4 linked regions of the Styela clava genome follow. The protein of the gene in region 1 binds, or shares a complex with, the protein of each later gene. Links are inferred from orthologs where the notes say so. Each region holds a gene or a part of one and is shown in the gene's direction. Other genes may lie near its edges.

The links.
Region 2: 116 kDa U5 small nuclear ribonucleoprotein component-like (region 1) and pre-mRNA-splicing factor ATP-dependent RNA helicase DHX16-like share a complex: the UniProt entries of both Homo sapiens proteins name them as parts of the minor spliceosome. The link is inferred for Styela clava from reciprocal best matches to the Homo sapiens genes EFTUD2 and DHX16.
Region 3: 116 kDa U5 small nuclear ribonucleoprotein component-like (region 1) and putative small nuclear ribonucleoprotein G share a complex: the UniProt entries of both Homo sapiens proteins name them as parts of the minor spliceosome. The link is inferred for Styela clava from reciprocal best matches to the Homo sapiens genes EFTUD2 and SNRPG.
Region 4: 116 kDa U5 small nuclear ribonucleoprotein component-like (region 1) and pleiotropic regulator 1-like share a complex: the UniProt entries of both Homo sapiens proteins name them as parts of the minor spliceosome. The link is inferred for Styela clava from reciprocal best matches to the Homo sapiens genes EFTUD2 and PLRG1.

What each region holds. Positions count from the first base shown.
Region 1 is NC_135262.1:13,318,701-13,327,427, forward strand, and holds the start of 116 kDa U5 small nuclear ribonucleoprotein component-like, read left to right. Parts: upstream 1-4,821; 5' UTR 4,822-4,886; coding exon 4,887-5,052; intron 5,053-5,622; coding exon 5,623-5,702; intron 5,703-6,338; coding exon 6,339-6,530; intron 6,531-7,291; coding exon 7,292-7,357; intron 7,358-7,551; coding exon 7,552-7,701; intron 7,702-8,361; coding exon 8,362-8,463; intron 8,464-8,727. UniProt on the Homo sapiens protein: Required for pre-mRNA splicing as component of the spliceosome, including pre-catalytic, catalytic and post-catalytic spliceosomal complexes. Component of the U5 snRNP and the U4/U6-U5 tri-snRNP complex, a building block of the spliceosome.
Region 2 is NC_135261.1:8,620,558-8,629,358, forward strand, and holds the start of pre-mRNA-splicing factor ATP-dependent RNA helicase DHX16-like, read left to right. Parts: upstream 1-4,899; 5' UTR 4,900-4,918; intron 4,919-8,801. Other genes in the region: uncharacterized protein LOC120329709, read right to left, coding at 124-266; peptide chain release factor 1-like, read right to left, coding at 1,011-2,330. UniProt on the Homo sapiens protein: Required for pre-mRNA splicing as a component of the spliceosome. Contributes to pre-mRNA splicing after spliceosome formation and prior to the first transesterification reaction.
Region 3 is NC_135255.1:6,374,670-6,381,567, reverse strand, and holds putative small nuclear ribonucleoprotein G, read left to right. Parts: upstream 1-5,074; 5' UTR 5,075-5,155; coding exon 5,156-5,389; 3' UTR 5,390-5,949; downstream 5,950-6,898. Other genes in the region: 26S proteasome regulatory subunit 6A-B, read right to left, coding at 60-208, 1,127-1,270, 1,569-1,706, 2,213-2,275, 2,942-3,049, 3,540-3,665, 3,876-3,956, 4,589-4,669. UniProt on the Homo sapiens protein: Plays a role in pre-mRNA splicing as a core component of the spliceosomal U1, U2, U4 and U5 small nuclear ribonucleoproteins (snRNPs), the building blocks of the spliceosome.
Region 4 is NC_135263.1:17,386,252-17,394,942, forward strand, and holds pleiotropic regulator 1-like, read left to right. Parts: upstream 1-5,355; 5' UTR 5,356-5,412; coding exon 5,413-6,780; 3' UTR 6,781-7,108; downstream 7,109-8,691. Other genes in the region: uncharacterized protein LOC144432066, read right to left, coding at 1,091-1,356, 1,436-1,511; uncharacterized protein LOC120340947, read left to right, coding at 8,409-8,558. UniProt on the Homo sapiens protein: Involved in pre-mRNA splicing as component of the spliceosome. Component of the PRP19-CDC5L complex that forms an integral part of the spliceosome and is required for activating pre-mRNA splicing.

The sequences.
Region 1 (8,727 bases):
TTAGGTAGGGGAATACAAAAGAGGAGTGCAGAAAACGAACTATTGCGTAATTGGGATGCCATTCCCGACACTTTTTTGTGTCCTAAAAACTTGTCCTAACTCCATGTTTTTATCTATATATGCTTATGAATCTCTGTTCTCGGTTATGAACTTTATTAAGTCTCGTATTAGGAGTAGCCTGAAAGATGAAACCAGTAGTTAGTGCATTTCTCTGGAAGTTATAAAATATAAACTCAATGTAAAATCTCTATCAGCGGTAATGGGGCAGCAGAAGTTTCACTGATATAGAACAAGAGAGCTGTGCTCAAATATATGGACACGTTAACCAGAGCGAAGCAGTATTTACCTTTGAAGCCACCGGTACCCACAAAAAATTCCCGAGTTTCGCGTAGAAATAATTTACAGAATCAAACCGGACAGCCAGTGTTCCCATGGATAAAATAATACAGCGAAATTTTAGACGAAATATCAGATTTCGTGCGATATTTAGAAATAAATAAAAGTAATAGCCTTCTGGCGGAAAAATCAATCTTTACTCACTGAAAATTTCAAAGCAATTGGTAGTAGTCAAAGAGAAAAGCAATTTTTTTTAAAATGATGGAGACAAATAATAACAATAACAACAAAATTTTGAAACGATCGTTATGTCCACTACGTGTCCAATAAGAATGTCCTGGATTCTTTAGTTTGAATAAAATCCGACGGGAGTGCTGTGGTCCATCCCGCATCGCTTCGTTTCTCAAATGTATTTGAATATTTTATAAGTTACAAATAGTTTTATCACTAATAACAAAATATCTTCCAACCCCAAATTCCCCCCCCCCCTAAAATACTGGTACACACACTTCTGGAGCGCCATTTTTTTAAATTGCGTAAGATACGATATTTGAGTAACAGGCAAGACACTAATTATCAAGCTCAGCATCGTTCTCGCATACAGTAATGCCCAAACCCCTCGCATGGACCAAGATTCTCATGGAAACATCTGTTCTCTACAAATATTTGTGTCATGAAGCACGGAGTTCCACAAGGATCTTTACTTGGCCCATTATTTTTTCTAGCTTACATTAATGACATGTCCAGGTGTCTGAAATCCTCTGAGTCGATCATGTTTGCTGATGACACTAACTTGATTCTTCATGGTGAAAACCTTGAAGATCTATTCACAGTTGCAAACCAAGAACTAACCAACATTCGTAGCTGGATGTTAGTTAATAAATTATCTCTGAATGCTAACAAAACTAAATTTGTATTATTCCATCCAAGCAAGCATAAAAGTGTGAGTTGTTCAAAAAAACTACTGCTCAATGGCAATGAAATTGAAAGAGTGAAAGAAATAAAATTTCTAGGAGTTATCTTTGATGAAAATCTGTCATGGAAATCACAAATAATGCATGTTATTGGTAAAACAAAAAGAAACCTAGCAGTTTCTGCCAAAGTATCCCAGTGTGTTGATCAATCAGCTCTACTAGCAATGTTTCAATCATTACTACTTAGCCATATTCGATATTGTTGTTCAGTCTGGCTTCATGGTAATAAAACACTTGTCTCAAAACTGCAGAGTATTTGTAATAATTTTTTAAGAATAGTTTTTGGTAAAAGAAAACGTGAAAGTGTAGAATCTTACTTCAAATCACTAAATATACTTAAGGTTGAAGATATGATGAAATTTGAAATATTATCTCTAGCTCACGACTTCCATAATAATGCGCTGCCCAATTGCTTTAATGACATACTTGTCAAAAATACCTCCAACCGAAGAAGCAGTTCTGATTTATTCGTACCTTTCATGAGTAAATCCGTGAGTCAGCATTCCTTGTCTTTTACTGGACCCAAACTTTGGAATTCTCTTTCCTTAAATTTGAAGACCTTAAAGTCCAAAAAATCTTTTCAAAAACAAGTCAAGTCTCATTTAGTTTCCAAATATTAAAAATTACTACTGGTGGTATTCGATGACAAAAACTTGGGACACTCCACACTTGCACATTATTGTTTTAATGAAAATGTTGAACAGCTATAATAATATTGTTATATCTTGCCACGACTTGGCCAGAACTAGTCCAGCACCAAAGAAATGGTATTGTGACATGCTTGAGTATATATATATATATTTTTAAATATATAGGTAGCTAACGTACCCGGATGATATTTTCTTTAAATAACTGCACACATTCTATCACTTCACGCTCGTGTTTTTATGTTTTTCTAGCTGTGATGTCCTTATCATACACGCTTGGTCTTATGTTTGAGTGGTGGTATAAGGGTTGTAGATAGTACAATATTGTTCCTGCAAGGTTACTACTTATTGCAACTAGGCGAGCAGTAGAGCTATGTTGGTTTCTCCCCTTCAGATTTTAATTTGCTGTGGGTCATTGTAATTGGATGTGGTTTTTATATCATTTATGTATGCATGCGTTTTATGTTAGGGCATGGTGTTTGAGTTGACTTGTTGGCCAAGGTATAGATAGTAAAATTTTGTGTGTTTTTTGCATGGTGTGATAAATTTTTTTCTCTGTCCCAAGCAGAATGTCATCATAGATCATCTATCCATCGCTATACAATGACAATACATCCCATTTAATTAAACAATTATTTTTTGCCTGTAATAAATAGTTCAGAGCGTTCCCCTTCACCCAATCATTGAAACATCTACTCGCAGTTTTATTTTTTGTTTTTCAGGTTACTTCAAAGTGATTAAATGAAGTAAAACACATAAGAAAAAAATCAAAAAAGACTCCGATATCCTGTGAAATAACAACCTTATTCCTATATCCTTGTCTGAAATCAATACCCAAGAATGAAAAACCTCACTTACACCCTTTGTAACCAATTTATTTCCACATCCTACTTTACTTAATTATAGTAATTTTAGTGTTACCGGTAACTTTAATTACTTACTACAATCTGGACTATAATTTGGCAATAATAGGCTCTAATTTGGGGAATGAAATGGTCTCGCCCACCTCTTCATGCACCCAATTCTGGCAACTTTGGTTGGGCAACTTGGCATTTGACTCCAACTATAATCAGCTTGGCAATATGTTTTCAATAGAATCTTCCTTTTATATCTTAATTAACGATTAGAAGATCGATCAATTTGGCAATGGCAATCATTACAAAAATATCAATATGGTGTGGCAGATAATTTTCTTTTCTAGTATTTATTTATTTATTTTTTGTTTACTGTATAGTATACCCTAAATTTATCGCGTCTTATTCTTACTTAAATAAATTCTCAGTGGTTGTGTGTGTGGCTGGTGGGTGCATGTGAGCGTGTGTGAAATAACTTAATAATTTTAGGTGAGTAAACACGTACCACTTCCTCTTGGCAAAACCTTCCATCTTATATTTTGTACGTTATAAACCTTATCTAAGGTTTTGTTTGCTCCCCTGATTTCATAATCAGTTTTTATTTATTTGTTTTTATCTGTCAAATGTATTGTTATGCTGATTATGGAGTCGAAATAAACTTATACTAACTTATACTTATACTTATAATCATTAATGCGTCAAATTCGTCTATTCATACTTGGTCATGGTACGATGAGTTGCAGGTAGGAAACGTATCCCATGCGTTTCGTGCGAGGGAGTTTTAGACAAATGCAGATTTGTAATTGACGATATACACAGAGGTATACAGTAGCGTTGCACGTAGCGTAAGGTTGTTTTGACTTCATATTCTTGTTATCAGATTAACTTCGATAATTAGGATGGGACATGATGTCAATGACATGATGTCTCAATTTTAAAATGTCAATACAAATGTTGATAACGTTTGAACTAGAATTAAAACCTTGAAGATCACGAAGAAATATTGAAAAAATTGATAAATCATTCCGAACTTGGTTAGATGAATGAACTTGATATAATATGCAATATCTGGTATATAATTTATTGTTATTGACTTATTTGCTTTGAATAGTGAGTACATAAAAATAGAAACTGCGTGCAGAATCAGATGAGCATATTAAACCTCATGTACCACTACTTCTTGACTTCAGTACTTGAATGTTATATAAATATGTTTTCGATAAGAATTGGAGTAGGCCCTATTTCTGAGAATTAACTTGAATTGAAGTTGAGACTTGCATCTTTTTGTAGGTCATTTCTGCATTTAGTACATAGTCTGCAGACCTATAGATTGTATCTCTCACAACAGCACGTATACTGCATATATAAAAATTCCCACGAAACAAAAATTGGGTAAATAGTAGTAGATTTTTTAGTAATTATTCAGGCAGTAAAGCACAGATTGGACTTGGATTCCAAGAATAGCTGCATCAATAGAATCATCAATAGCAGAGACATCAATCATGATGCTGAGTGCAAACCCCTTCTTTACGAGACAGTCTGAGCCTCAATATTGGCGTGGCGGTGTGGGTCATCGTGCTAAGCGGTGCTAAGCGATAGGAATGTGCTCGCCACCGCACCTCTGATTACTCTGCATGGTTATGTGCAAGAGGATTGCTGAACACCTCACCGTCGTAGGGTGGTCCACGTAACCGCTGGTCTGTCACGGCTTCCTCCACCATCAAGTCCATGCCTCCAAAAAAACAAGTAGGCTAATTAACTAATCCCATACCCGACATGGAATGGTATCTTATCGACTTACCTCTCCCCCGAGATAAATATGTAAATCCTAATCTAAAAATATCCTCATCAGATTCCTTCCTTCCTTCACAATTTTGATCATGTGACGGCTGCGATTAATTTAGATTTATTTACTTAATCAAATGACTGAAAATTTTGGAACAAGAGAACTGTGTCCTACTGCAGTATTAGCTATGCATCTAATATTTGCCTAATATCCAACTTTTTAGGTGTATTTCAACAATTTACTTTATCTATACAAGGACATAATATAGATACAACAAACATATTCCACCATGGATACAGAAATGTACGATGAGTTTGGGAATTATATCGGACCTGAGTTAGATTCCGATGAAGAAGATGAGGAAGTAGATAATGACATGTCACCATCACATGATCTCGATCGGCAAGAAGATGACGATGACAATGATGTTGATATGGATGGCAGTGGAATTGCAAGTAATACACACAATATTTTTATATGTAGATTATGATATTAATCTTAGTAAAAGGAAAAAAAAATAGGTCAATTTGATCATATATCGAACCATGGATTCTTGTCTCGTTTTCATGCGTTGGTATTTTAATTTTAGTCTGCCTACATCCCATATAAATTTATTGCAAATCAAAAATAGCGATCACCAAACTCAATAATAGTACTTATTACTGGTTTTATGCAGAATTTAATGTAAAACATGATTTTATTAACACCGGCCAGATTTAGTAACAAAAATTTTTTCTGTGAAATTTTATTAGTCTGAATTCTAGATAACTAACTTATAATGTGAATAGAATTCTCAAATCCAAAATCAATTTCGACATGATACAATTTTCATTTTTCTTATATGGTATATTCATAGTCCTTTGCTCTGAACAAGGCTCTGCAAAAGAGACCAATGCTAGGTATTAAGCTACCATAGTGAGAAAGGGGACACCCTGGACATGGGATTTACTGCTAAGTCTAACGTATTAACCACTGACCTACCGCACCCACAATTAATATATTGAAATAAGGAAATTTAATTTTAGAAACTGGGATGGAAGTTGTTTTACATGAAGACAAAAAATATTATCCAACCCATGAAGAAGTTTACGGTGAAGAAGTCGAGGTAAAACTTTCGGTTTAGTTTTACATTATATAATTCAGTATAGTTTTTCTGGCTGCGATTTAGATATGTTGCCAATGTATCCTCACTATGTTGAGATATGTTAGATTCGGGCTAATAGGCACTCATCGAAAAATTAGCAATTTTTGTTTGTCTGTTGCATTGGCAATAGTTAATCAACTTGATTTTTTTTTCCTACTACTGTGTGAGTTTTTGTGATTTTCTTTTCACCAACTCAATTGAAAATCTATTGTTTTAATTGCAACATTTTAAATTAAACAAGGGTGAATGTTAAAAATATTACTGAGAAATAAAAGTTTCAAAGTAATCAAATTGAAGTTTAGAGGCTATTTAGACCCAAATTATTTCAATAAAAATTTACAGGGATATAAAAGTGTCTCGAGTTTTTTTAAGTTTCGCTTTTTTGGATCAAAGCTCTCGACTATTCAATATTGTTTCAGGATAATTTTTTTTAGATAAAATTACTAGGACTATATTGGTGTTTTTTGTTTTCGGCCACCAATCTGATTTTCTGGAATTGTCAAATTCCGAAGGATTAACCTGCAAAGTTGTGGTTATTCTATATCTATTATATTCTAAAATTTTATGGTTGAGCAATTTTTCAACAATTTTACTCAGACGATAGTGCAAGAGGAAGATGCACAGCCACTGACAGAACCGATTATTGCTCCGATAAGAAGGAAGAAGTTCGCACTCATGGTCCAAGATTTACCAAACACTACATATGATATGGAATATCTTGCTGATCTCATGGACTCACCAGAACTTATAAGAAATGTTGTTATTGCAGGACATTTGCATCATGGAAAGGTATTTGATAAATTATTTTTTTGCAAATTTATGTCAATATGCCATAAGATGAATTGAACCATAGGATAAATAAGGTTTTGGCCAACGTGCTTCGTGATTTAGTACCATGTTTGTAGCATTTTTTAACTGGATTTTTTTTACCCAGAGACGGAGCCAATTTTTCCAACTCGTATTCAGAGTCAGTTGTAAATTTTTTCCCGACACTACAGCTCTATTAACAACATTTTCGCTAATGTGAATTTAAATAATTAGTGCAGGATAGAACCTACTTAATAATATTGACTATATTTTTTTCTGCCTCTGATATCTCTGTATCAATGAATCGGTCATACTGGTCCAGACTATTAACCAAATGAGAGGTCATACTTCTTGCTGTAGCATAAAGCTGTGATCCAAGCTTGTCTCAGTAAATAGAGCGGGTGATACTAGAAATTCTAGTGGCTGATCTCCTTGCCATCTTTTTTTTTTTTCTTTCGCATTCATTATTTTCTAACACTTCATACAAATAATAAAATTTATTTTTTTCAGCTTGTAATTTTTTGTTTTTAATATATTAGTTAAATTTGTATATTAAAAACATTTAATTAAATATACAAATTTCAATGATTAATTATTTTTATTCCTCTGGCCACTGCCACAGTGTCTGGTAAAAATCTTGGACGTTCTGAAGAATAAAAAGACAGTGAAAAGCATTTTTCATTGGTTTCTAAATATTAATATGATGTCCTTCTTTATTCAATCCATGTTATTGTTTGTTTTAGACAAATTTTGTCGATTGTCTGATCGAACAAACTCATCCAGATATTGCAAAGAAAGAAGCTAAAGACGTAAGTTTGAAAATCTTGAGATCTATTCCGATCATTTTTTTTGTGTCCTACCGAGTTTATTAGGGCATACATGCTAGAGAAACAGTATCTTGGAATTTTTTTAATTTGAATATGATCCAGAATTATCCAGGATTCCAAATATCAAATACGCTGCAGCCATAAATCCTTGATCTATTTTTCTTCATTATTCACAGTTGAGATTTACCGACACATTATTGACTGAACAAGAACGTGGATTAAGCATTAAATCACAGCCTGTTACTCTGGTATTGCCTGATACAAGAGGCAAAAATTATCTTATCAATGTTATGGATTCTCCAGGTCATGTCAACTTTTCAGATGAGGCAAGTGTTGAGTTTGTAATATCTTATTATACATATAAAATTGAACTTTGCGTCCCCAATTAGATAAATAAGTGTAAATGTTACGTCATTTTGTTGACATTGCATTTATTCTTTAGGTCTGCGTGTTTACAAACTTAAAAATGCATTATTAAGTACGCATCACAAAATTGAGTCTTTTTTGAAGGCAGCAATTCTTTTGCCCGATAATTTGGTGTCGCATGAACGAAAAGCTGCCGCTGCTATAGAGATTGAATTTGATAATGCCACGAAAAAGAAGTTCCCACTGTTTTATCGGATTTGTTATTTTTTCAGCCTTTTTTTGTAATTACAATATAGATTTTTTAGCAAGAGGTGTCAAAAGCTCAAACTGACAATTTTCGTGACAAATGGAAATGTTTTAAATTTCTCCCAAAATATAAAATTTTATTGTATCAATTCGATGCATTCTGTTTCATCTTGACATTCCTGTTGAACTTTTCACTGGGCCTTTAATTCTGCCCAGATTCACTGTGTATTATCCTAAACATCGCAATTCAAGTCTGTCTATAATAATAATTGATGAGAGGTCACCTAAATACCAAATATGCTCTTTTCAGATCCGCTGATCAACGGTGATTCAACAAACCATTGTTTTGAAAATTTTAATTGTTTGTTTCGCAGGTAACGGCTGCAATGCGTCTGAGTGACGGTGTAGTTCTATTCGTTGATGCATCTGAAGGTGTGATGTTGAATACGGAACAGTTATTGAAGCATGCAGTGCAGGTATATTAACTGTGTATTGAATTGCTCATACTGGGATAGGATTTACATATTTATCTTTGGAAGGGAAATGATGATAAGCCAACTTGACCATCTCGCGAACCACGGCCTCTCGTCCAGCTACCAGCCCATGTCTGGTATGGGCTTAGTTAGCCAGTTTTTTGTTTTCGGTACGATGGACTTGATGGTGGAGGAAGCCGTAACCGACCAGCGGTTACGTGAACCACCCTACAACTGCGAAGATTCCAACAATCCTCTCACACATAA
Region 2 (8,801 bases), on another chromosome or scaffold:
CCCCGAAAAAAAAATCAAACTTTTTTATCTACAGTAAATTATACCAAGTTGTTCATCACCGAATTAATTTTTATTATTCTCTGCCTGAGATAAAAACAATGTAACGACAAAAAACATACACACCTCGTGAATCCACCATCTGTTTTTGCCGATCTGAGATTGAGAAACTGTCTTAATTTCTTCAGAGCTTTATCCCTACATCTTTTATCGTTTCCAGCTAACCGTCTGGCAAATTCAGCCTCGATTGAAGCAGGAGCCACAGCCATTTTGGGCTTTTCAAACAGGTAAATTTAAAATTATGACTAAAAGTCAAATATGAAAAAAACATAAATATATTTTAGAATATTATGGACATTAATAAATATTTGACTAATTCGTAATAAAGAACTTGGAACATGTGAACAATAGCAAAAAATTGGCATTTAAAAATATCAAAAAAAGATGCTAAATTTCATGCTCAATTATCAAGAGTTCACAATCAGTTGTTTATAAAAAACACGCTTTTCGACTATAAAAGCCATGTTTAGCAATCGGAAAGAGACACTGAGAAACAATATTTTTTTAATAGGATGGTCAATGTCAATACATTTATCACATTTAGTTTAAATACTGCAATAAAATGCCTGCAATACTGCCCAGTGACATCTCTCGATAGAACTGCCATCATTTTCACACCATGAAACAATATAAAGAGCATTCTTATACCAAATATAGATTTATAGCCAATTAATAAAAGGTATAATCCAAATATGTAGCCTACCAAATGTAGCCTGCCAAATGTAGCCTGTCAAATATGTAGATAATTTAACAAACTCAAGTTGCAATCAGCAACTCACTAGGTAATGTAATAACCTGTAGGTAATAGGTTCTGCCACTGATTCATTTGCAGCCAAGTCAAGTTCACTAAAAAAAAATATTTGATTGTACCTGTATAATAATATAAGTTAACAACAACATTTTTAAAACTAATTATCGTTTCCGGTAGCCTATCAATCATAATCAGATCATAGTTACTTTGAAACAGCTGATTTGACTTTCTTGTCATTAAAAAACAATTGTCCTTCATCAAGCAAAATTTTACTTGTAATATTTAATTCTTCCAATTGAGTTTTACTGTTTAATTTTTCCATCAAATTAAGCAAAGTTGTTTCACCATTAAGAAACTTTGCAATTCCATGGGTAGTGAAGCCAATTCTATGATCAGTCACACGATCTTGATGATAATTATAAGTCCTAATTTTATCGGAACGCTCCCGATTTTTGACCTGCTGTTGACGAGCTTTAGTGAGAGCACTTTGTTGCATACTATGTTTTTCTGATGCTAATATAGCTTCTAGCATTTGCATAGCACGATCCTTATTATCATGTTGAGATCTTGTAGCATTACATTCAACAATCTTTCCAGTTTTAATATGTTTTAATCGAATTGCGGATTCAGTTTTATTTGCGTGTTGACCACCTGAAGAATTAGAGCGTTTAAAACGTTGAACCTCCACATCTTTTTCATCAAGTGTTTCAGTTCGATTGCTAAAAACTGGAAGTAAAGCGACGGATGCTGTACTGGTGTGTATTCGTCCAGCTTTTTCTGTCTCTGGCACACGTTGTACCCTATGGGTACCAATCTCATTCTTAAACAATTGATACATATTTCTATCTATAAAATTTATATTTGCTGAAGACTTCTTCAATCCTCCAATATCAGTATACTCGACATTTAAAATTTCAAAATCATGTCCAAATCTTATACAAAAAGATTGATACATTTCGAGTAATTCTGATGCAAAAAGCATGGCTTCTTGACCCCCAACGCCCGCTGACACTTCGAGAACTGCGTTGGAAACTTGATTATCACCGTGCATTATTTCAAAAAGCTTCGACACAATTATTTCATTACATGACTCTATTTCTTTCAAAAGTTCTTCTTTTTCATCTTCTGCAATTTTAATTAAATCATCTTTTTCATCAGATTTAGCTTCAGTTAATGCTTCAGATACAAAAGATTCAACTTCTTTTAAATTATCATGAACACCGTACAGATTATCAATATCATTGTTCAAATTTTCCAATTTATGAATCGCAACCTTAGGATTGCTCCCAAAAAACTCTAATAATGAAGGTGGCCATTTTGTCTTTGAGCTAGATTCTATATTTAAACGTCCATAAGCAAACTTGAAATAATCAAAAAGATCTTTATGGTGAATCTTCTCTCCTTTCATAATCGAAGACGTAGACAATTGAACAGCATGTCTGATAATGCCACAACATGTAACTGATTTGTGTAATAATTGAGATTTATTGCAACAAGTCCGAGTGAGGAATGTTAGAAACATAATACAGGTTAATCCTGTAATTATAGTCTAAATAACAAACCTAGAACTGATGAACAACAGAATAGCAAATTCACAGATTCCAAAAATATCCCCAATATCTGAATATTTAGATATATGAAAATAAATAAGATGAAATTTGGTAGGAGACATTTCTTTAGTTCTTTACTGCTGTACTGCCTAACTGATACAGTGATATGGGACATGCATGCAATAAATTAAATATAGATGTTACTTTGACAGATTCATATTCAGATATTCTATTTCCATCGTGCATGAAGTATTGTACCGACACAAGTAATAAAAAAAATGGTAACAATAATATCAATTGAAATAAAGAGACATACAATATTACTGCAAGTGATAAATTGATCAAAATCTTAAAACTGTAACAAGCAATGATTTAGAGAAGAACATTTTGTTTGAGTAATAGGCGACTGAGTGGGGTGCCTTTTTGCATTGATAGCATTATGGAATTTGAAAAGAAAAAATTATGATGAATTATTTGACTGATAATTGTTGATTCTATAGTGAATTTAAACTATAAGTTATTTAGAACACTATATCATTGATATTCAGGGTCTCATGTAGTTCCTACCTAACATACTTCTAGTGGGCGTAGCATGACAATTTTTTCACGTATCAATCCTAACCCCCACCTGACTACACCATCCAAAAATTACATCATTACCACGTCACAGTGAAGTCTGAAAGTAATAGAGCCCTTCAAACTATATGAACTCGTCGCAACGATTCCAATAAGAGAGAGATCGATAACGTCGGTCAGTTCTTCTGTTCTTTAGCGTCGGCGCCAATGCCATTTCGGGCGATTGTACGTATATTTGGCAAGCTCAGTCTATGACGGGATTGTGATCTCGTAGTGACGTAATTTTTGGATGGCGTAGTCAGATGGGGGTTAGGATTGACATATCAAAAAATTGTTATGCTACTCCCACTAGAAGTACGTTACGAAAAAGGTACGAAAATACACGAGACCCAATATTCAGATATTTAAGTATTATCAAGGCATTTCAGTAAGTGTGGCCCTCGGCTAGCTTACGGGAGAGTGACAAGTGTCCATCCTCATTTTTTGTCCAACTTACGCCAATTGTCACTTCTACACTTCAACATTCAGTTCGACTGTCAGACTGTTCGATAACAATTCACTCATTCAGATTCTATAAGTTCAGAACTTTATCATAACTCACAATTCAGCAATTCTGTAATTGAATATTTCATGTTGCAGTGTTTCGTCCGCTTGAAACATGTAATAGCCTACCTACTCCACTCAATTACGCGAGTTACCGTATGTTATATCCCTATTCTACATGCGTCAGTCAGCAGACATATACATACATAAGCATATGAGGTCCCAACTTTTTTTTTTTGCCAAATTCAAATCCATTGCCAAATCGGATTTATACAAATGATAGTTTTGGTATATCCAAATAATCAAATATATATTTCAATATTATTGCATGAGGTCCAAATTTTATTTTATTTTTGTGATGTTATTTAGGTGATTTCATACAATGAATAAGTATACAATGAAAAGATTACGCAACTAACTGCAGCTAATAGCCATGCTGCAACAATGGTTATTTCCCGACCCTTGACCTCACCTCGCCAATGCAAAATATTACAATAATATTATTTTTTTTTTGAAGGTGTTTCAACGATCTGGTCATTATATAATAACTGAGGTTAAAAAAAATATTCTTATCTATATTTACACTTTCCGTAACTTTTATCTTCATTATGACGAGTATTGGGATAAGTTAACATTTGCATATTTGTCCCGGGGGGAAGGAAACCGATAAGACGGTCTTAATATAAGTTTATCCGACGCCATAATCAGCATAACAGCAACAATGGTATATATTTACGGAAAAACAAATAAATGAATATTGATCATGAAATCAGAAGAGCAAACCAAACCTCAGATTAGGTTTAAAACATACAGATATAGGATGGAAAGTTTTGCCAAGGAGGATAGGATAGGATTTACATATTTATCCCGGGGGATAGGAAAGTCGATAAGACGGCTTAATCATATGACGAACCACGGCCTCTCGTTCTGTTTTCGGAAGCATGGACTTGATGGTGGAGGAAGCCGTAACCGACCAGCGGTTACGTGAACCACCCTACGGCGGCGAGGAATCCAGCAATCCTCTCGCACATGATCATTCCCGCATGGGATTCGAACCTGCGATCCCACGAAGAGTAATCAGAAATGCGGTGGCGAGCGTATTCCTAACGCTTAGCACAATGCGCCACACCGCCGAGCCAAGAAAAGGTACGTGTTCACTAACCTGAAATTAATAAATGAATTCACACACACTCACATGTACCACTCGCAACCACAGAGATATTATAAAGTAAAAAAAACGCTATAAACTTAAAAGATAGAAAACAAAAAAAAAAATAAATAAAATCATAATTATGTCTGAAATTCCGCCTCCGATTAATTTAGAATTTCGACTCCGAGTCCCGCTACTAGCTTCACAATGGTAGCAAAGTGACTATAAATTCCGACTTTTTGACATTGATGAACGGCAACTAAACCTTCTCGATAAATGCAGAAATGCGAGGTTGGTATAATGGATTTTATTGGTGATTTCCGTGTACAAATGATATTTAATGAAATTCTGCTGTTTATGAGAGATCATATACGGCAATTATCGTAAAGTAGGCCTAGTTCTGTAGTTGGAAAGATAGGTACGGTAATCATATGACATTACCGATATGATTATTCAGCCGTCCTAGTTTGTACCGCACTGCTGATTTACAAGCTAACGGTTGTGTATTATTACTGTATTGCTGTAATGGTCTATATCAGTGGCCAGTGGTTCTCAAACTTTTTTAGTCCCAGAGCCGCATTTCAAACCTCAAAGTTATTATATTTGATGGTGTAGCGTACCGGCAATGTATGAAATAATTATCCAAGTTCAGAATATCTTCTAATATGATCTGACGTCAAGTTTTCTCTCAATAGTCCAAGTCTTTATGCTATTTTATGTCATTTATTAACAACTCGAACAGTAAACGATCCAAAACAACCAAACACTCCCCAAAGGAACGAAAAGCATAAAATAAAAATAACAGATACCAGGCAGTAAAATGCAAGAAAGACCACATACACAACAAAAACACTGACCAACCCTGAAATCCAAGACAACTCTGAATAAAAAACCAAATGACCCCTAGAATCTGGTACAATGAACTAGCTACTGCAATTTGTAAAACAGGCCGAAAGTAACTTATGACAGGCATTTAAAAAGACTATGAACAATTCTATAGGTGCACAACATTTGAACAATACTGATGAAAGCTAATTCCACGATAAAACTGAAAATACAACACTACGGTAAATGAACTGTAATGGCACTGTACTGGTAAAATCAATAACATGGTCCCTACGTCAGCCCACTGTCCAGCACAAAACATCCGACAGTCACACAACACAGACAAACATCCCTGAAGACCAGACGCATTCACACAGACATTCAAAACCCACCAATCTAACCGAAACACTCAGACGACTCCACTCTGTCACACACAGCATACACCAACAGACCACGCTGCCCCCGAGAACCGATCGACCGTGTCGCAGCGTCTAAACTGCTAGAATACCAAATATGGAAACGATATCACATGACGTCATTTAACAGGCAAAACAAGGGTCGTCACATTACCCCCCTCTTCTAGATGGAACATTATGAAAGAATGTTTTCATCTCTAAAAAAAATATTTGAAACACGAAAAGCAGTAGTCAAAACCAAATTATGTCCACAAATGTCTTTAAAATATGCAGGCCGTCTACCCTCACGCTTAAGCATCCGTAAAGTTTGTCATTCGGGATTGAGTCCACCAACGTCATCGAAACGACCAAATTGATGTTGCATATCTCCATTGGCTCAACAATGGCTACTATGTTAGATCTCCGGACGGCCAAGGCTGTTGTAGCTGAACTAGAACAACCATTCCCGAGCGGCCGGTATAACCACATCTTCACTATAGTCCCATGACAGCAGGGAGAAGCTGTTTGGTGCTGTACCTTAACATCCTGTCCCTCAAGAACAAAACGATGCGACGAATTTGCCAAGATAGTCCATCCGTGACCCTAGATCGGCGACGGCAACGGTATGCTCCACAGGCCAGCTTTCAATCGTCAGGTTGACATCAAGTGCACCATGAGACACTAACGACTCGCCACTGGCAGTACGCAATGGTACTGGAAAAGAATACAGTTCTGAAATGTCCGAATTTCCTGCAACGTCGAGTAAACAGCGGTGTCTATGAGCGAGACACCCGAACCGAATTTTCCGCAACGTCAAGTAAACAGCGGTGTCTATGAGCGAGACACCCGCACGTGACCCTGGATCGGCGACCACAACTGTATGCTCCACAGACCAGCTTTCAATCGTCAGGTTGACATCAAGTACACCGTGAGACACAAATGACTCGCAACTGGCAGTACGGAGTGGCACTGGAACAGGATGCAGCCCCGAAATGTTCGAATCTTCCTGCAACGTCGAGTAAACAGCGGTGTCAATGAGCCAGACACCCGCACCGGTATCAATCAAAAACAAAACAGGCACGTTATTGACCAGAGCCTTGACATATCATCCATTAGTCCAAGTAATAGAAAAAAAAATCATAGTTCATAGAAAATATCCTGGCGTGCTCTCGCCAAAAATTGTAGCGTACCGGCAATGTATGAAATAATTATCCAAGTTCAGAATATCTTCTAATATGATCTGACGTCAAGTTTTCTCTCAATAGTCCAAGTCTTTATGCTATTTTATGTCATTTATTGACAACTCGAACAGTAAACGATCCAAAACAACCAAACACTCCCCAAAGGAACGAAAAGCATAAAATAAAAATAACAGATACCAGGCAGTAAAATGCAAGAAAGACCACATACACAACAAAAACACTGACCAACCCTGAAATCCAAGACAACTCTGAATAAAAAACCAAATGACCCCTAGAATCTGGTACAATGAACTAGCTACTGCAATTTGTAAAACAGGCCGAAAGTAACTTATGACAGGCATTTAAAAAGACTATGAACAATTCTATAGGTGCACAACATTTGAACAATACTGATGAAAGCTAATTCCACGATAAAACTGAAAATACAACACTACGGTAAATGAACTGTAATGGCACTGTACTGGTAAAATCAATAACATGGTCCCTACGTCAGCCCACTGTCCAGCACAAAACATCCGACAGTCACACAACACAGACAAACATCCCTGAAGACCAGACGCATTCACACAGACATTCAAAACCCACCAATCTAACCGAAACACTCAGACGACTCCACTCTGTCACACACAGCATACACCAACAGACCACGCTGCCCCCGAGAACCGATCGACCGTGTCGCAGCGTCTAAACTGCTAGAATACCAAAACGATATCACATGACGTCATTTAACAGGCAAAACAAGGGTCGTCACAATGGTCACAATGCAATGTGACAAATATTGTTTTTTTGTTTCAATTTCATGTTGTTATTACTGTATTATTTATCTGTAGTGCATTACATTTTCAATTTCTGGTTGTATATCAGCGTAGTTTACTTTTATCAGTATTATCTTTTAGACCAGGGGTTCTCAAACTTTTGGTGTTGCGGAGCCCGTGAAGAGGTTGACTATTATTCACGGAGCCCCAAAATAAATTTTAAAATTGTTACTTTCCGATTAATATTCCTGAGTAAGTTAAAAGTACTTTACTTAATTTAAATGCTAAACCTTTTTTAACGGGTTAATACAAGTCATAAATAAATCTAAATTTTAAAGATAAATTACCGTATATATATATTGAGGCTGTAAATTTGACACTTGACAAACATATTAATAAATTAGGGGTCAAATCTTTTTCTTTTGATATTTGGTGACCGTACATTTGAACCCACGTACATTTGAACCCATGTGTATATCCACGGGTTTAATCTATATGCGGGTGCTAAAACCCATGGGTTAAGGTTAGTATGGGTTCAACTATCCGAAAAACAAAAAAAATTTCATAGGTGCAATAGCATACAGGTGCAATTGTCATGGGTTCAAATGTAATGGAACCATATTTATTGAGGCTGTAAATTTGACACTTGACAAACATATTAATAAATTAGGGGTCAAATCTTTTTCTTTTGATATTTTTAGAAGACCTAAAAAGTCGCTGCGCGATTGCATTTTGTTACAATCGCCGACTGTTTTCGTCAGCGTGAAACGTCAAACCTAAACATCTTTACGTCTGTGTTTATTCTCCCTAAATCAAAAATTTCTTCCGGCATATACATGTATTTTTCCACAATGGCGACGATAATTGCTTTTTTTTTCTCGTGGGGAATTATGAATTCGATGTGAAAAACATGTTAATATAATATATATTATAGTCATCGGCGACGATATGCTAAAAATAATTAATAAAGAATCGGCGGTGAATTCGCAACTCAAAT
Region 3 (6,898 bases), on another chromosome or scaffold:
AATATTTTTTCATACCGAATTCTATTCTCAATTTAGTCATGCCTAAGAGAAAGACCTACCTTTTTGTTCCTATTGCATCCAATTCATCAATGAATATAATTGCTGGTTTTCTTTCTTTTGCCAAAGCGAACGCATCTCTCACGAGTTTGGCACCATCACCAATGAACATTTGAACAAGCTGTGGTCCAGCAAGTTTCAGGAAGGTAGACTAAATAAAATAAATTTGGTAGAAGAGTTATAACGGAAAAGATAGAGTGAATTAATATAGCTGTCATCACAATTATATAGCAGGTATTTGATGGTCCTACACTCATTGTCACCATAATTTCAAGTTTTTGGCTCATTGCGATAAACATTTTCACGTCCCTACTTTAGATCATGTTACTTAGGCTTATACTCATGAATAACAATAAAGAATCAAAAACTACATTACAGTAAGAGAAACTAAAATCTTGATATATAAATATAGTTTAATTTCATTACTTTGATATGTTTCATTTAAGTTTTATTAACTAAGTCATATATGAATTAATCAAGCTTAATTGTGATATTTGATTACTATTCAAGTCTCACGTCAACAGAGATTTACTGATATGTGATGAATCCCCATAATTCTATATGGTAAGAGAAGCACTTGACATTCTAGTGCAGGGGGGCGCAGCAGGTGGCCGGCGGGCCACAACCCGAGGTCCCAGCCAACCAAGCCATTTAGTGTGGCCCTTATCTACACCCAAATTTTCCCTGATCAAGCATAAAATCCTAATCTGACAGTTTGTTAACATCAGATATTAACAAACCATGCAAGAACTCAAAATTTCAATTTTCCCACTAAAATGTTAATGTTAAATAACTCATATTTTACATATCAGAAACTTTCTTAATTTGTTGTGTACATGGAAACACTGATTTTTTCGTGTGGCCCACCTAGATGTTTGAAGTATGTTAGTTATATGGCCCATCGACAAAAAATGTTGCACACCCGTGTTCTAGTAGGTACCGTAGTTGCCATTTTGCCCAGAATGAGTCTTTTACGTTCTTAGTGAATGTGTGTAATGTTGCTTTGAGCATATCCTCATTAGTTAGAAAGTATTTCATAATTATCATTAAATTTTGAAACTCAAAATACCTTAGTTTGCGCAGCACAAGCTCTTGCCAACAAAGTTTTTCCAGTTCCAGGTGGCCCATACATTAGAACACCTTTGGGTGGTTGAATTCCAATACTGACAAATCTATCTTTGTGAGTCATCGGTAAAACAACCGCTTCGATTAACTAATAGAAAAAAATAAGAAATAAGATTAACTAGTAACGAAATGATAAAAAACTATAGAATCCTAGATTATAAGTGACAATGAATCTTTTCACTAATCCCACAATTTCTGTAAATAATAAGCAGTTTTTCAATACTGATAGATAAGATTTATTTTTAATTCGGCATGGTACAAAATGATAAAATACAGGATGGAAATTCGGCAAAGTTGCCAATACTTGCACAAACAAGGTTTAAACAATTTTCTTGATTTTTGTTACTGTTTGTTTAATTTTTTTCCTACTTTGTATGAATGATCACCTCTTGAATTTGTTTGTCAAGTCCTCCTATATCAGAATATTGTTCAGTAGGTCTTTCATCAACTTCCATTGCTTTAACACGAGAATCATATTCTGTTGGAAGCTTTTCCAATATTAGATATGAATCCTTATTTACACCCTGAGTAATTTTAAGAAAGGATTAAATCAACTTTAGTAAATTAAAAAAAAATTAAGATTCCGATTTGAAAACGAAATGGCCATGTAGGATTTTGGGACCTCCCGTAGTATGTGAACCAAGATGGTGGACACCGGAACGTAGTACGAGTGCAAGGTTAGGGTTAGGCCATAATTCCAGGGGCCATAATTCCAGGGACAAATACTACGGGAGTCACTTGGCTAGTCCCTGAACTAGTAATAGGACTAAAATAAGGAAAATTGAAATAAAATCATGGCCAAACCCAACATGGCACACACACGTACTACGTTCCGGTGTCCGCCATCTTGGTTCACATACTACCGGACCGGTTACTAGAGTACAGTACCGGATTTTAAACTTCGAAATATAACACACACAGTCAATGCAATAAAGTCAGTCATTCAACCTGTATATAAATCAAAGTTTATATTCCAGATTTTTTAAATCTGTTTCAGAAGCAACCTGGCAAACACTATTATTAATCTTACCACAAGATCACCAGGAGACATATCTTCTGGTTCAACAAGACCAATCACAGGCAGGAAGTACGTCTAAAAACAAAAAGAGAGAATATATTGATTCATCAAACCATAAAACGGATATAAATTATATTAAAATGAAGAATCAAAATTTGAAAGCCTCTAATGAATGACTGTTTGCTAATGATCTGGCCGTTTACATACACTCACTTAAATAAATGAAACAGATTCAGTTATATTGTTCTCTCAATATCTAACTAGTGCAGCGGTTTCCAAAGAGACGCTAATTGAGCCACAACAAATTTACTTTCTGTTATGTAGTGTCTGCCTCTATTGTTACATAAAGATAGAAATAGACACTACCTACTGGAATTTCGCGAGCTGCAGTTTATTTATCTGCTGAATCGAGTTTAGCCAACATGAGTGATTTTTTCATCATTCTGCTGACTCGAGTTTAGCAAACATGAGTGATTTTTTCACCATTCCAGAGGAAAATCAGGCAGAGATGAGGAAGAAGAGTTTACCTTTTACCTTTATTCCTTAGGCCTACATATTTACTAACTTTAAAAGGTATGAAGTACACATTAACGATCATAAAATTGAGTTTTATTTGATGGTAGCAGTTTTTTTCTAAAAGTTTTTTCCCTGATAATTTGGCGCTCCCGAACAAAAAGTTTGGGCACCACTGAATTAGTGTATACACATAACATGCTATATATATAAAATCAGATGGCATACTTGTCTAGTTGATGTTTTAATCACTGCACATTTCCCCTTGCGCTGAGAATCTAAATCAACATTTGCTCCGTCCTCTTCCGCTTGCTCTTGAGGATCAACATCAAGAAGCTGAAATATTTCATTTTTTCATTGTTTTGTAAATACGGTAATTAAAGTCGTTTAGAGAAGATTTAAAAGGGTTATTCATTGATAATGATAACCAATCAATATGACATGAGATTAGTTGATGTCAGTTCATAAAAGCATCTTTTGATTTTTAGAATAGGAATATCATATTTATCTTGGGGGAGCAGAGAGACTTTAGGGCGGCGTTATCCCTTTGCCAAACCACTGCCTCTCATCCAGTTACCAGTCCATGTCGGGTATGGCAATAGTTTATTCAGATAATGAACTTGGATTTGCCGTACCCAACCAGCGGTTATGCGAACCACCCTACGATGGCTAAGAGTACCTACATATGTCCCAAAGCAATCGAATCCTTGCAGAGAAATCGAAGGTTGGGATGGCAAGCGTATTCCCCTCTCTTAGCATGATGTACCAACCTCCTGGCTAGAAAAAATATATAGAGTGAAGTTTCAAGTTTCAACATCATACATACCTCAATGACATTTGAGACAAGATATGGCAGCGTTTTGTTAACTTTAATTTTTTCAGCATTTTCCTTTATTTTGTCTTTCATAGCTTGCAATTCATGTGATATTCTCATCGTCTCACTTCGCATAATCTGGAAAGCAATTCAACATAAGGTATATTTTGCTCCGAAGCATTCTTACACAGTGAAAACAAAAATTTGGCACTAAAGTTCTGTCAAACAGTTTGAAAATGAGGGATTAAAAAAAAAAATTGAGAACAAAGAGCATTATATAAATATCTATATACCGTAAATAAATTGTTTGTGAATATATTATTTAAGGTAAAATAATATGAAGAAAACCTTAATTTCATTATCAAGAAGTTTCGTTCGACTTGCAATTTCCTCATTGCTCATTTTCATAACTTCTTCACCGAGTGCTTCCTAAAAAAGTCATATACAAAGTTAAACAGGCATCATTGGATGGCAAGCTCAAAACACGCTGAAATTGAAATTTTTTAATAATATAAAATAAAAAATAGTGATTTTTATCAACCTTTAAACCTGTTACTCAAGTGTGTGGTCGTGTGGAGTTAATAACTATTACCGGTACACTACCGGTATTTAAATCCAAAAAGCAATATTCAAAGTTTTTCGAATTTGGCAACAAACTGACAAATCAAAACCTTAATTCAGAGACTGGGCATTCAACTTTTAGGTAACTTATAGCATGAAAGTATATATGTTATATATATTCATTTTCTGACTATATAGCCAGCATAGGCTAACTGTTAAGTATGAGTATAAGTTCATTTCGACTCTATAATCAGCATAATAGACGATAATATAATTGAAAACAAAACTGATTATAGAATCAGGAGAGCAAACAAAATCTTAATTAGGGTTTGAAGCATACAGATTTTAGATGGAAAGGTATTGTTAAAAGAAGTAGTAGTATTAAAAGTAAAAGTATTAAAATCAATTACTCAGTGAAAAAAAATATACAAAAAAATAAGTAATGTTGATTATTAGTGCCTCATCAAAATTTTATCTAACATTGTTTGCGGTTTTCTCACCTCGACACTGTCAAACATATCCATTTGTTGTTCGTCTCCAGTAGGACTTTTTAGCTTCTCATCAATTGCCGGAGGTGCCATCTTCAATTATACTACTGCGACAGCGATTTAATTTCTAAAAAATTGTGTTCTAATAGAAAAATATATGATGATAGCTTGGAGTTTCAAGGTACGGCACAGTACGTAACTTCCAGACCTCTAAATGTAAATCCGTCCCTTCTGAAACGACAGAACAACAAAATCTGACAATGCAAATATATTAGATGCTTACTCATACTTTTGCCACTGGAGCGTTACGGGTAGTTTTTTAGGAAATAAATACAATTTTGGTTGAATATTTTTCCTATTTGTATATTTTATGATTAAATAATTAATTAATAAATAAGTTAAGACCAGAGTAAGCATATTGCATCATTTACTCCATATTCTTTTTGATGAGCTCAAACGCTAGGGGGAGAAGCAAGCTACTTCTTAAAATAAGGACGCGCGTTTTGATTGCGCTCAGTTCACTTTCTGCGCACTGTATGTTTCGGTATTTGCTGTTGGATTGTATCGCGTAATATCAAGATGAGCAAGGCCCATCCACCAGAATTGAAGAAGTTTATGGATAAAAGATTGGATTTAAAGTTGAATGGTGGACGATCTGTTACGGGAGTTTTGCGAGGATTCGATCCTTTCATGAATCTAGTTGTGGATGATGGAACAGAGCGCAGAAAAGACGGGACCACTGCACCCGTCGGAATGGTGGTCGTTCGCGGAAATTCGATATTAATGTTGGAAGCATTGGAAAGGATTCAATGATTTTTAATGAACTAATACCAACCACAAAAAAACTGATTTAACAATCCGTGATTGTGCATAGACTTATAAAAACATTTCGATCTATTTTCGGTCTTGCTAATTATCGAAAACAGCGTTTATCATAGTTTCTTTTTGTTTGTGCTGTTTTCGGTAAGTTGTAAGAGCGATTTTTATTTATGTTTGTATACCCTACTTTGATCTAGTGTAGCTTCCAAACATGTACTACTTAAATACTTGATTGCAAAACAAGCTAAACAGTGACTGCTTACCTCCAATAGTGATGGTTTGACACTATTGTTTCTATACCCCCAAAGTGGCATTGCGAACCATATGTATTTTAACTTAGCATATCATTGGGAAATAGTATATCTGTTAATATTGAGCAAAATAAAATGCATAGTTTCCTGTGGCTCTAATTACCTTCATTCTGTCATTTTTAACTGTTGCAGTTGTGTAATTTCAGTTCATGCTAGATCTATGTATGAAGGTAATTGAATTGTAAGTCTTATTTTCTATGTGCCAATAGCATTTTGCTATGGAATAAAATTTTTAAAAGTGAACGTCTATGTTTTAAATCTCAACACAATCCTATTGAGAAAGCCTGCAATGTGATACACATAGACGGATGTGCATATCCGCATTCGCTTAGAAACATTATCCCATAACGAATGCCTGTCAAAATGGGCTGTTATCGTCCTATTAATTGTTTGTCGTTTTCTTTGATCCTTGTTTTCTTGAGATATAAGCAAAGTATAAAAAGGGAAGCCGGGAAAATAACTTCTCCCAACGGATTGAGGAAATAAAAGAATAATACCCAATTTTGATATTTATATGATTCCAAAATCAATTAGATTGCAAATGAAGTGATGTTCCAAGACCACCTCTTACAGTGGTTCCCAACCTTTTATGGCTCGTGGCCACGCTGTTTGTTTATCATTCCAGTGTTATTTTGATTGGTAGATTCCAAGTTCCATTATGTTCAAACAATTCATGCACTAAAAAAGGGAGGAACACCATGTGAAATAACCTCATCAAGCAACGAAACTAGGAAGAACGGAGAGTTTTCTTGAGAAGTGGATAGTAAAATCAGTTTTACGCCTAGCATTGTGCCCCCCCCCCCCCCTGACCTAATATTTAATGCCGTACCCTACTTACTTTCTGTGCTCAATCCGAATGAACTACTCACTTATCCTGCCTCTTTCACCTTCCCATTTTAAAAGAGCCGGCACAATGAAAAGTAACTATTATAATGTATCAAATATATCAAAATTTGCAATAACTAAAAAATAAAACATTTCAGTAAAACATGATACCCATGGTGAAATTGAGTAATCATTTTAGTACAAAAATATATTCTCTATTCTCTGTGAGGGATAAAACGCTGCTATGCTAAAATACAGAACAAGGCACATGTGTCGCCCAAACTACCAAAACAGTCCAGGTAGGGCATGTATAAAACCATCAATGTGACAATGTAGTGACCAAATGAACGATTTGAGCTTTGGACAA
Region 4 (8,691 bases), on another chromosome or scaffold:
GCTAAGCGTTAGGAATACTCTCGCCACCGCACCTCTAATTACTCTGCGTGGGTTCGCAGGTTCGAATCCCATGCAGGGTTAGGGTTATGTGCGAGAGGATTGCTGGACTCCTCGCCGCCGTTGGGTGGTTCACGTAACCGCTTGTCGGTTACGGCTTCCTCCACCATCAAGTCCATGCTTTCAAAAACAATATAACTAAGTATATGCTTTGCGTATTAATAGGAAACAAAAAAAACGGAAATGGGTCCAATTTGTGTGTGATATTCATTGGATACGTTTGGTAAAACTTTGGTTCTAAAACATAAAATATTGTAATTAGCGCGTTACCATATATTTATAGGCTTACCATACCGTAAAACCGGCTAACTTCGGATGATTTCACTATATTTTGAACAATATCTCCGCCGCATGTTGTTCAACTGAAGCCAAATTTGGAATATAATACATTGTGGCTATTCTCGTCTTGATAAAGTCGGTTCCATATCCATCAAAGCCTTTTTTCATTGAAATTATTGTCTTTATTCGTCTATTCTAAAATTATCTAACTTCGGATGGCCACTTTTCTCTTTGCGTCAACTCGTCGTGAGAGAGAAATGTCTGCGTAAGCAATGACGCGTGACAACGTCGCTGAATAGACCTTACGCCGCCACGACCTGTCTTGCGTGTTGAATACTGACGTTTGTACGTGACGTTACTACGTGACGTTACTCTTGCCGCTTCGCGAAGCTTAACTATTTATTCTTGTGTCCTTTATTATAACTCGTATATATTTCACTAACTACTCCTAATTTATTGCAAAATGCTAGTTCGTTCTTTTATGATCGTTTATTTTCAATGCAAGAAAAGGATTAACAAAAAAAAAACGGAAGAATTGAAAGTACCTAACACTGGTGTAGGTTGAAATTGAAATGCAATATGGAACAAGTAAAGAATGAACAAAAATTAGACAATTAAAAATAAACGGATGAATCGAATGAAACACTGGCAAAAGTAAAAATTGAAATCAAAAAGCAATATGGAACAAGTAAGGTATGAACAAAAATTCGACAGTTAAAAATAAACAGATGAATTGATGGAAACGCTGGCAAAATCAAGAATTGTAATCATTTCCACATGGGTTAGACGGGTCTTTGCAACAGTTCTTGTGGAACCAATGTGTTTCGCTGCAGCTTTCGCAACCGACCCATTCCACCTCAATTTCCGTACTTCCATTTGGATCATTCCATAATCCACAAGCAGAGCAGGTTTCGTCTTGATTATCACTTTTCATATTTTCTGATTTTCTCAGAGCTCCCCGTTGATCGGCTCGGCAGAGGTTCCTGCCCGGTGTGACTTTCGATCCTCGCTTTCGTTTCACTTAATAAAGTCAAATGACAATAAACGGATAAAAACGTCAAAAAGAAACTTTGCCACTTTTTTTCATTTTGCGCCTCACCTGTATGTGGTCCAACCTCCTGCTGTGTGCATGTATGTAGAGTTCTACGCTCACCTGTTAACGATATTATTATCATCTGCCGACATATCTAATCTACAGACATATCTAATCATTATGATCGTATAGATACATGTTTCAGGCCTAACGTATTACCAATTGCTACGATATCTATCGGTGTCGGAGGAAGTATGCAAAAACAAAAATCGACAAATTTCATATGCATTAAGCGTATGCATACCCATATTTTTAAATAGGATTTTTTTTTGTAGGATTTAGTGACTAGGATCATGGATAAGCATAATTTTTAAATTTCACAAAACTGGGCGCCGCGATGTCTGGCGTTCAAATGTCGCAGCGAGTAACGCACGAGCTACGCAAAGTGACGTCGGCTACGAAGAGAGAGAACGGGATTTGCGTCGTTGACGTCACGCTGTACGTAATCATCAAAACGTCGATATTTTGATGTAATTTTTAAATCAAAATAATCGATTTCACTCGAATCTCGTACGACACCTTGTGATCACTGTATTTTTTTGTATACATTGTGTACGCTCTCTAGCGCTTGGCGGTGATTTGACGAAGGTAGCGTCTGTAGAAGTCACGATTTGAGCCGCTCGAAAAAACGGTGTCATTTTTTTGGTAAAATATGATTTTTTGAATGATAAAAAATCAAATCGAGCGATTGGAGGCTACGGCAGATTCAGATATGTGAGGCCTTACTATAGAAACCGACAGAAGCGCAATACGACGAAATTTAGTTGAAATATGAATGATTGAAAATTTCATCCGAAGTTACAAGGCATCCGAAGTTAGCCGGTTTTACGGTACGTCTCGTTTTATACGGGACAGTCCCCCTTTTTAACGTCTTGTCCCGGCGTCCGAGCTCGTATCTAATTTCTAGTAGTTGTCTATTTCTATTAATATATTTTAATTATAAAATTCGCCAAAACCATACGGTACTCCCCGCCAATAACAGTATTTTTATAATTAAATCACCCGATTTTTTTAAACTAGATATTAGAACCTTGGGTGTCGCTACTCTAAACCCAGATTTGGCTTCCCTTCCACAGTGAAATTGTACGATTACCACTTTCAAAATATTGTATGTAATTGTTTTTTACTGGTTGGATAAAATAACCTTGTCGCTCACTCGACATATTTTTAGTCGTAAACCTCGTTTTCGCGATTTTGAATGCTTTTCGTTAGTTTTTGGTCGTGATTCCGAAGTATGAATCAAACAAGAGAGCTACGCACAAATATATGGACACGTTAGACCAGAGCGAATCAGTCCTTACCGGTACCTTTGACGCTACCGGTACCCTCAAAAAAGTTCTGAATTTCCAGTAGCAAGAATTTTGCAGAATCAAAACGTACAGCCAGTCATGACACTGACTAAAATCCGTGTTCCCATGGATAAAAAATAATACAGCAAAATTTTAGACGAAATATCAAATTTCATAGAATTCACGCAAAATTTTGAAATAAATAAAAGTAATAGCCTTCTAGCAAAAAAATTAATCTTTAACCACTGAAAATTTCAAAGCAATTGGTCCAGTATTCGAAGAGAAAAGCGACTTTTTAAAAACGTGTCAAAGAACAAGAACAACAACATAATATTGAACGATCGTTATGTCCACTACGTGTCCAATAAGTCAATCATCATTTTGCCTTCTTAGGAGTTGTAGTTTAATTACAGTAATGAAAAAGTAGCTGTGATAAAATAGGCTAAAATTCTCTACCGGTAGGCAACGTTTTCTGCGAAGGATGCACTCGTCCATTCGTGGCGCGTGCTTTCAGCGGTACTGTTGCTGTGTACGTTTCTCGTGCTAAAATGAACGTCAAACGTGCATTATGCCTAAAGTACAAGTCACATTAACTTGTGTACTGCTTACATGCGAATATTCATGAGAGCAATTGTTTTGCCAGCAGCTAACCTCAGGATAGTTGGTTATAAATCATATATATTTGTTCTTAATCTATGGACCTTTCCCCGACCTTTGCCTCCCGAAAAATTCTTCCTATACTTTATCATTGCAAAATTTTCGTGGCTATATTGAGAGTGCTTTTGCGAGTTGGCGCCGGTAAAATGGGGTATGTGTTTCAAACCATCAATATGATTCATCGCATATAACAATCTGTTTTTTTAAAAGTACCGGTAAAGAATTTTAGCCTAGTCTATCACAGCCATTTCTATACTAATTTTTTATTACTGCAATTAAATTAAAACTCCTAGGAAGACAGAGTCATCATGGAATTATCTGATTTATATTTAAGTTTCCGAAACACAACTGAAAACTATCGAATACAGTTCAAAAACGCGAAAACGAGGTAGTGTTTACGACCACGTTTGAAAATCTGTCTGAGTGAAAAAAGTGTTTGAGCGTAAATATATACTACTACCATAGCCATTAAATAATGGCTCTGCTACTACGGTCTGAGCGGATGCGAAAAGGGGGCATTGTTACTTTCCTTTCTGCATCTTGCTGATTGGCCAATGTCACGAAGTAAACAAGGAAGTCGATGCTCGGGGAAAGGTCCCTATTCTGCGGTATAGAATTTAATATTCGAGACTTCAGAAATGTAGAATTTATATTGTTGGATGGATTTCCCAACTTTTGGGAGTCTATTGTGTTGACAAAAATATTTGTCCGGCCCGTTTCAACTCAGTTTGAGTCATACCTGGCCCGCGGTCAAAAAAGTTTGGTGATCCCTAGTTTAGTTTAGCCGAATAATTGACCTTTGACTCATGCAAAGTTGCAAACACATCCCCAGCGTCGTTTGATCGTATCACTGTATTAGTATTACCGGTATTAGTATTTATTTACGGTTTGATAGTCGGGACTCTTGAGCATAGACCATGCTCCGAGTCAGTCAAAGCATAAGTTGGGATGTTCCATTTGAATAATTTTACACTTGTACATTCAAGTTTTCTCAAATAGGACAATATTGTGTTAGTTGTACACACAGAATGTAGGTTTTAACGCGCTTTCGGTAGATTTGCACACGATATCAGGCGGTGTGACTCGTTCACTGATTCCATGCCGTGACTTCGGAGTTTGCACGCCGTTCTCTGGTGCTTGTTATGTGGCAGGCATAGTACCGTACCCTATGTCTGTATGTATTGATCGTAGCATCCGCCATCCAGTCGTGGTTCTTGCATAGTTTCGTACGGTACCGTACCTACTGACAGACTGACCTAACGTCAGAACGTACCGGTACTTGACACTGACCTCTGTTGTGAGTTGTTTGTGTAGCCGAGTTGTCCGTCGCCCCTTGCAGTGGGCGTAGCATAACAAATTTTTTACATGTCAATCCTAACCCCTACGGTACCTGACTATGCCATCCAAAGTTACGCCATCTCCGCCAAAAATTTTTCTCTACGACGTCACAATCACGTCATAGAGCTTGCCAAAGTTAAAGTGGCATCTGCGCTCATAATAAAGAACTGACAAGTGGCTTGCGATCTCTCTCATATCGAGATCGTTGCGACAAAAAAATGAGAGAAATCGCTTGCTCGATTTTGGATGTTGTCTGTGCCTCTTGGATGACGATTCGTATAGTTTGATGGGCTCTAATACGTCACTGTGATGTCCAGAAAGATTGCCACACCGCCAAGCTTGTTAGCTTACTTGATCGAAAAACTGGCTAAACTATTTATTAAAAAAGGCCTGTGATTGTATGAGGAAAATAGTTTTTATATATAATGCATGTAATATAAAAGGCCTATATTTTAAACGATTTCATACTTTAGTTTTTTCTTCCTACTTGATGGTAGGTACTCAAATTCTTTTACAATCTGATTATTGGTGATCATAAATTAAATGTAAATCGGAATACTAGCTAGTACTATCATATTTGTGGAAGTGCCAATGCATTGGCAATGCTGCTATTCTGTACATCATTTTCAAATATGGCCAACTTACAACAAGTCGTTTGTTTTTTTTTCAGAAAAATTTAGAATAAAGAAATTTAGCAAAATGGAGGAAGTAACAAAGCATTCTGTACATACATTAGTCTTTCGTTCTTTGAAACGTTCACATGATATGTTTGTTTCTGATCATGCTGCACCATTGCCAGTCAATGAAATAGCTGCAGCAATACGCCGAAACACGAAGATGCGAAATGAATATGGCCCCGTATTACACATGCCAACTGCGAAGGATATTAAACAGGCATCACAGGTACAGCAGCAAGATAAACAAAATACACAGCAACACAACCAGATGGATAACGAAGTAAAAGCATCAAAACTTGGAGCACAACATACACCAATTGAGGACTCAAGTAGCCAAGCGTTGGTTGCTGTTAATCAAAACACCAAAGCATTGGCTACAATGAAAAAAGCGTCAATAATGCCGAAACCTAAATGGCATCCACCTTGGAAACTTTATAGAGTCATAAGTGGCCATCTTGGATGGGTTCGGTGTGTTGCCTTTGAACCAGGAAATGAATGGTTTGTTACAGGGTCAAACGATCGTACTATTAAAATTTGGGACTTAGCAAGCTGCAAATTGAAGCTTTCTCTCACTGGGCATATAAGCACTGTTAGAGGACTGGCAGTTAGTTCGAGGAATCCATATTTGTTTTCATGTGGAGAGGATAAACTGGTAAAATGCTGGGACCTAGAACAGAATAAAGTTGTTCGTCACTACCACGGACATTTAAGTGCCTGCTACGCCCTTGACTTACATCCAACTATTGATATTTTGGTCACTTGCGGACGAGACTCCTCTGCAAGAGTATGGGATATGCGGACAAAATCAAATATCATGACTCTTGCTGGTCATTCTAACACTGTTGCAGATGTAAAATGCCAAAGTGTTGAACCCCAGGTTATCACAGCATCTCATGATTGTACTGTCAGGCTGTGGGATCTTGCTGCTGGAAAAACAAGGGCAGTGCTTACAAATCATAAAAAAAGTGTACGGTCAATAGCACTTCACCCTAGACAATACACATTTGCAAGTGCTTCTCCTGACAACATCAAACAATGGAAATTTCCAGATGGGAATTTCATACAAAATCTTTCTGGCCATAATGCCATAGTAAACTGTTTAGCTCTCAATTCAGATGGAGTTTTAGTGTCTGGTGCTGATAATGGAACTCTTCATATGTGGGACTGGAGGACAGGACATAATTTTCAGAGAACAAAAGCCCCTGTTCAGCCTGGATCTTTGGATAGTGAAAGTGGAATTTATGCTGCTGCATTTGACCGTAGTGAGAGTCGCTTGGTAACTTGTGAGGCTGACAAGACAATAAAAATATATAAAGAAGATGATGAAGCCTCTGAAGAAACACATCCAGTTCAATGGAAACCAGAAATAATCAGAAAGAAGAGGTTTTAAAAGTACCTTACCACCCTTAACTCCAGTTTTTTATCAAAAGTTTGGATAAATAGAAATTATTCGAACATCGGTGTATCGGTATCAAATATCAATCATATGCACCAACCAATCTGTAAGCATTGCATTGGAGATTTGCAGAGGAGGAGATACACCCTTATTTGTTCGGACTTTACCATATTCCCATTCAGGTTCATGCTACTAGAACAATAACTATTATCATACCCAGCTTGGACTGGTAATCTGACAAGAGACCTGGTTTGTCATGTGGACTTGTTCGTCATAATTTTTCAACATTCTTATCCTGCAGAATAAATTGAAAAAATCTTCATTTGTTCATGACTTATCTAGCAATGTCCGCATGATTTTATTTCAGGAATCAGTTCAAATCAACTTTTAGCTGCGAGTTTAGAAGTTCAGATCTAGATATGAATAAAATTCTGCCATTCCTCAGGCTTACTATGAATTTCGACCTCTTTGCATTTGCATTTCTAAAAGTATAGATAGATACTATTGTGCGAATTCAGAAAAAAATTTCATCTAGAACGTCTTATCAGAGAATTTAGAATATTCAGTTGGTGAATTTATTTAATTCGTTACGAACATGGTCAACGTTGCTTGTTAGCGTGTGCATAGTTTACAATTTAAAATCGCTGATTACTACCGCGTTTCCCCGAAAATAGGACTCAACAAACAAGGGTCCTATTTCAATTTTCTTTGGCACTAGATAGAGCTTATTTTGGGGGATGTCATTTATTTTCATTTATCAAAAACAAAATTACAAGAAGAGAATTACGAGAGTTTTAAGTATACAAAATATGAAAACCGTTGTTCATTACTGGTGTTTATAAATAACATGTTTTTAATTGAAATTTTTACACATTTTCTCCTGCTAGCAGTCCATGTATTATGAGATTAGTTGGCCAGCTGTTTTTCAGGTGTATTGACTCAATTTGATTGCTTTATTGACTAATTCGGATTCAAGGATGGGAAATGAATCCAAGGAAGCCCCAATCGAGCAGTGAGTCTACCCTTCGACAAGTTGAGTGATAGCAAGTCTTAACATTTAGAAAAACAAAATGCGTATTATGAGCGGAGGGAACAAAATCAATATAAAAGTTCAAAGCTAATCAGAAATTGCGTCCACAACTTCACAAATTTAAAAAACAAATAGGGCCCGTCTTCTAGTGGGTGCCAGATAGTGAGATTGTTGCGATATCCATAGAAAATACGGATATACCGAAAATAGACAGAAAAGTAACAAACCCAAATTCTAAAACGGAGATTTAATACGCTGCCGACTTTGCTAGATTACGGTACCTTACATACATAAACAATCAAACCAAACTCATTCAAAATATTAAAAGTAGAAAAACGGGAAAATGTTGGTAATAGGCTATATGTCTAGTTTAGTGTCGTGTTTTACTTGAATGTCAAGCCAAAATACAGTAGTAGCATAGTTACCTCATGATGAATCATTATGAGGTAACCATGGTAGTAGTAAGCGACTGCGACCATGACATCGTAGAACCTAAGAATGCTCTTGTGACATCATAGTTCCCAGCAATAAATATAATAATAATAAAGTTACGTTACAAAGTCTTCCGTTCCGTCGGTTCAGTCGACGAGCAATGGCGGCGGGACCGGTGTCCGGACAAGACTTTTCTCAAGAATTGTCAGAAGTCCCGGTCTTTATATATGTTGCTAGTTGCTGCTTGATAACTATCAGTGTGATCGTTGCATCTTGGCTCGCATACAAGAGAGATTGCAAGCAGTTTTGGGTAAGTATCGAGCGGTAGAAGTAACTTATTACTTAAGTTGGTCAATGACCTTTATTTCCGAATGAGGGAAACTAAAATAGCTATAGGCCTAGTGTGTATCATAATTTGTGCTTTCTGATTAAACTATTTAAAT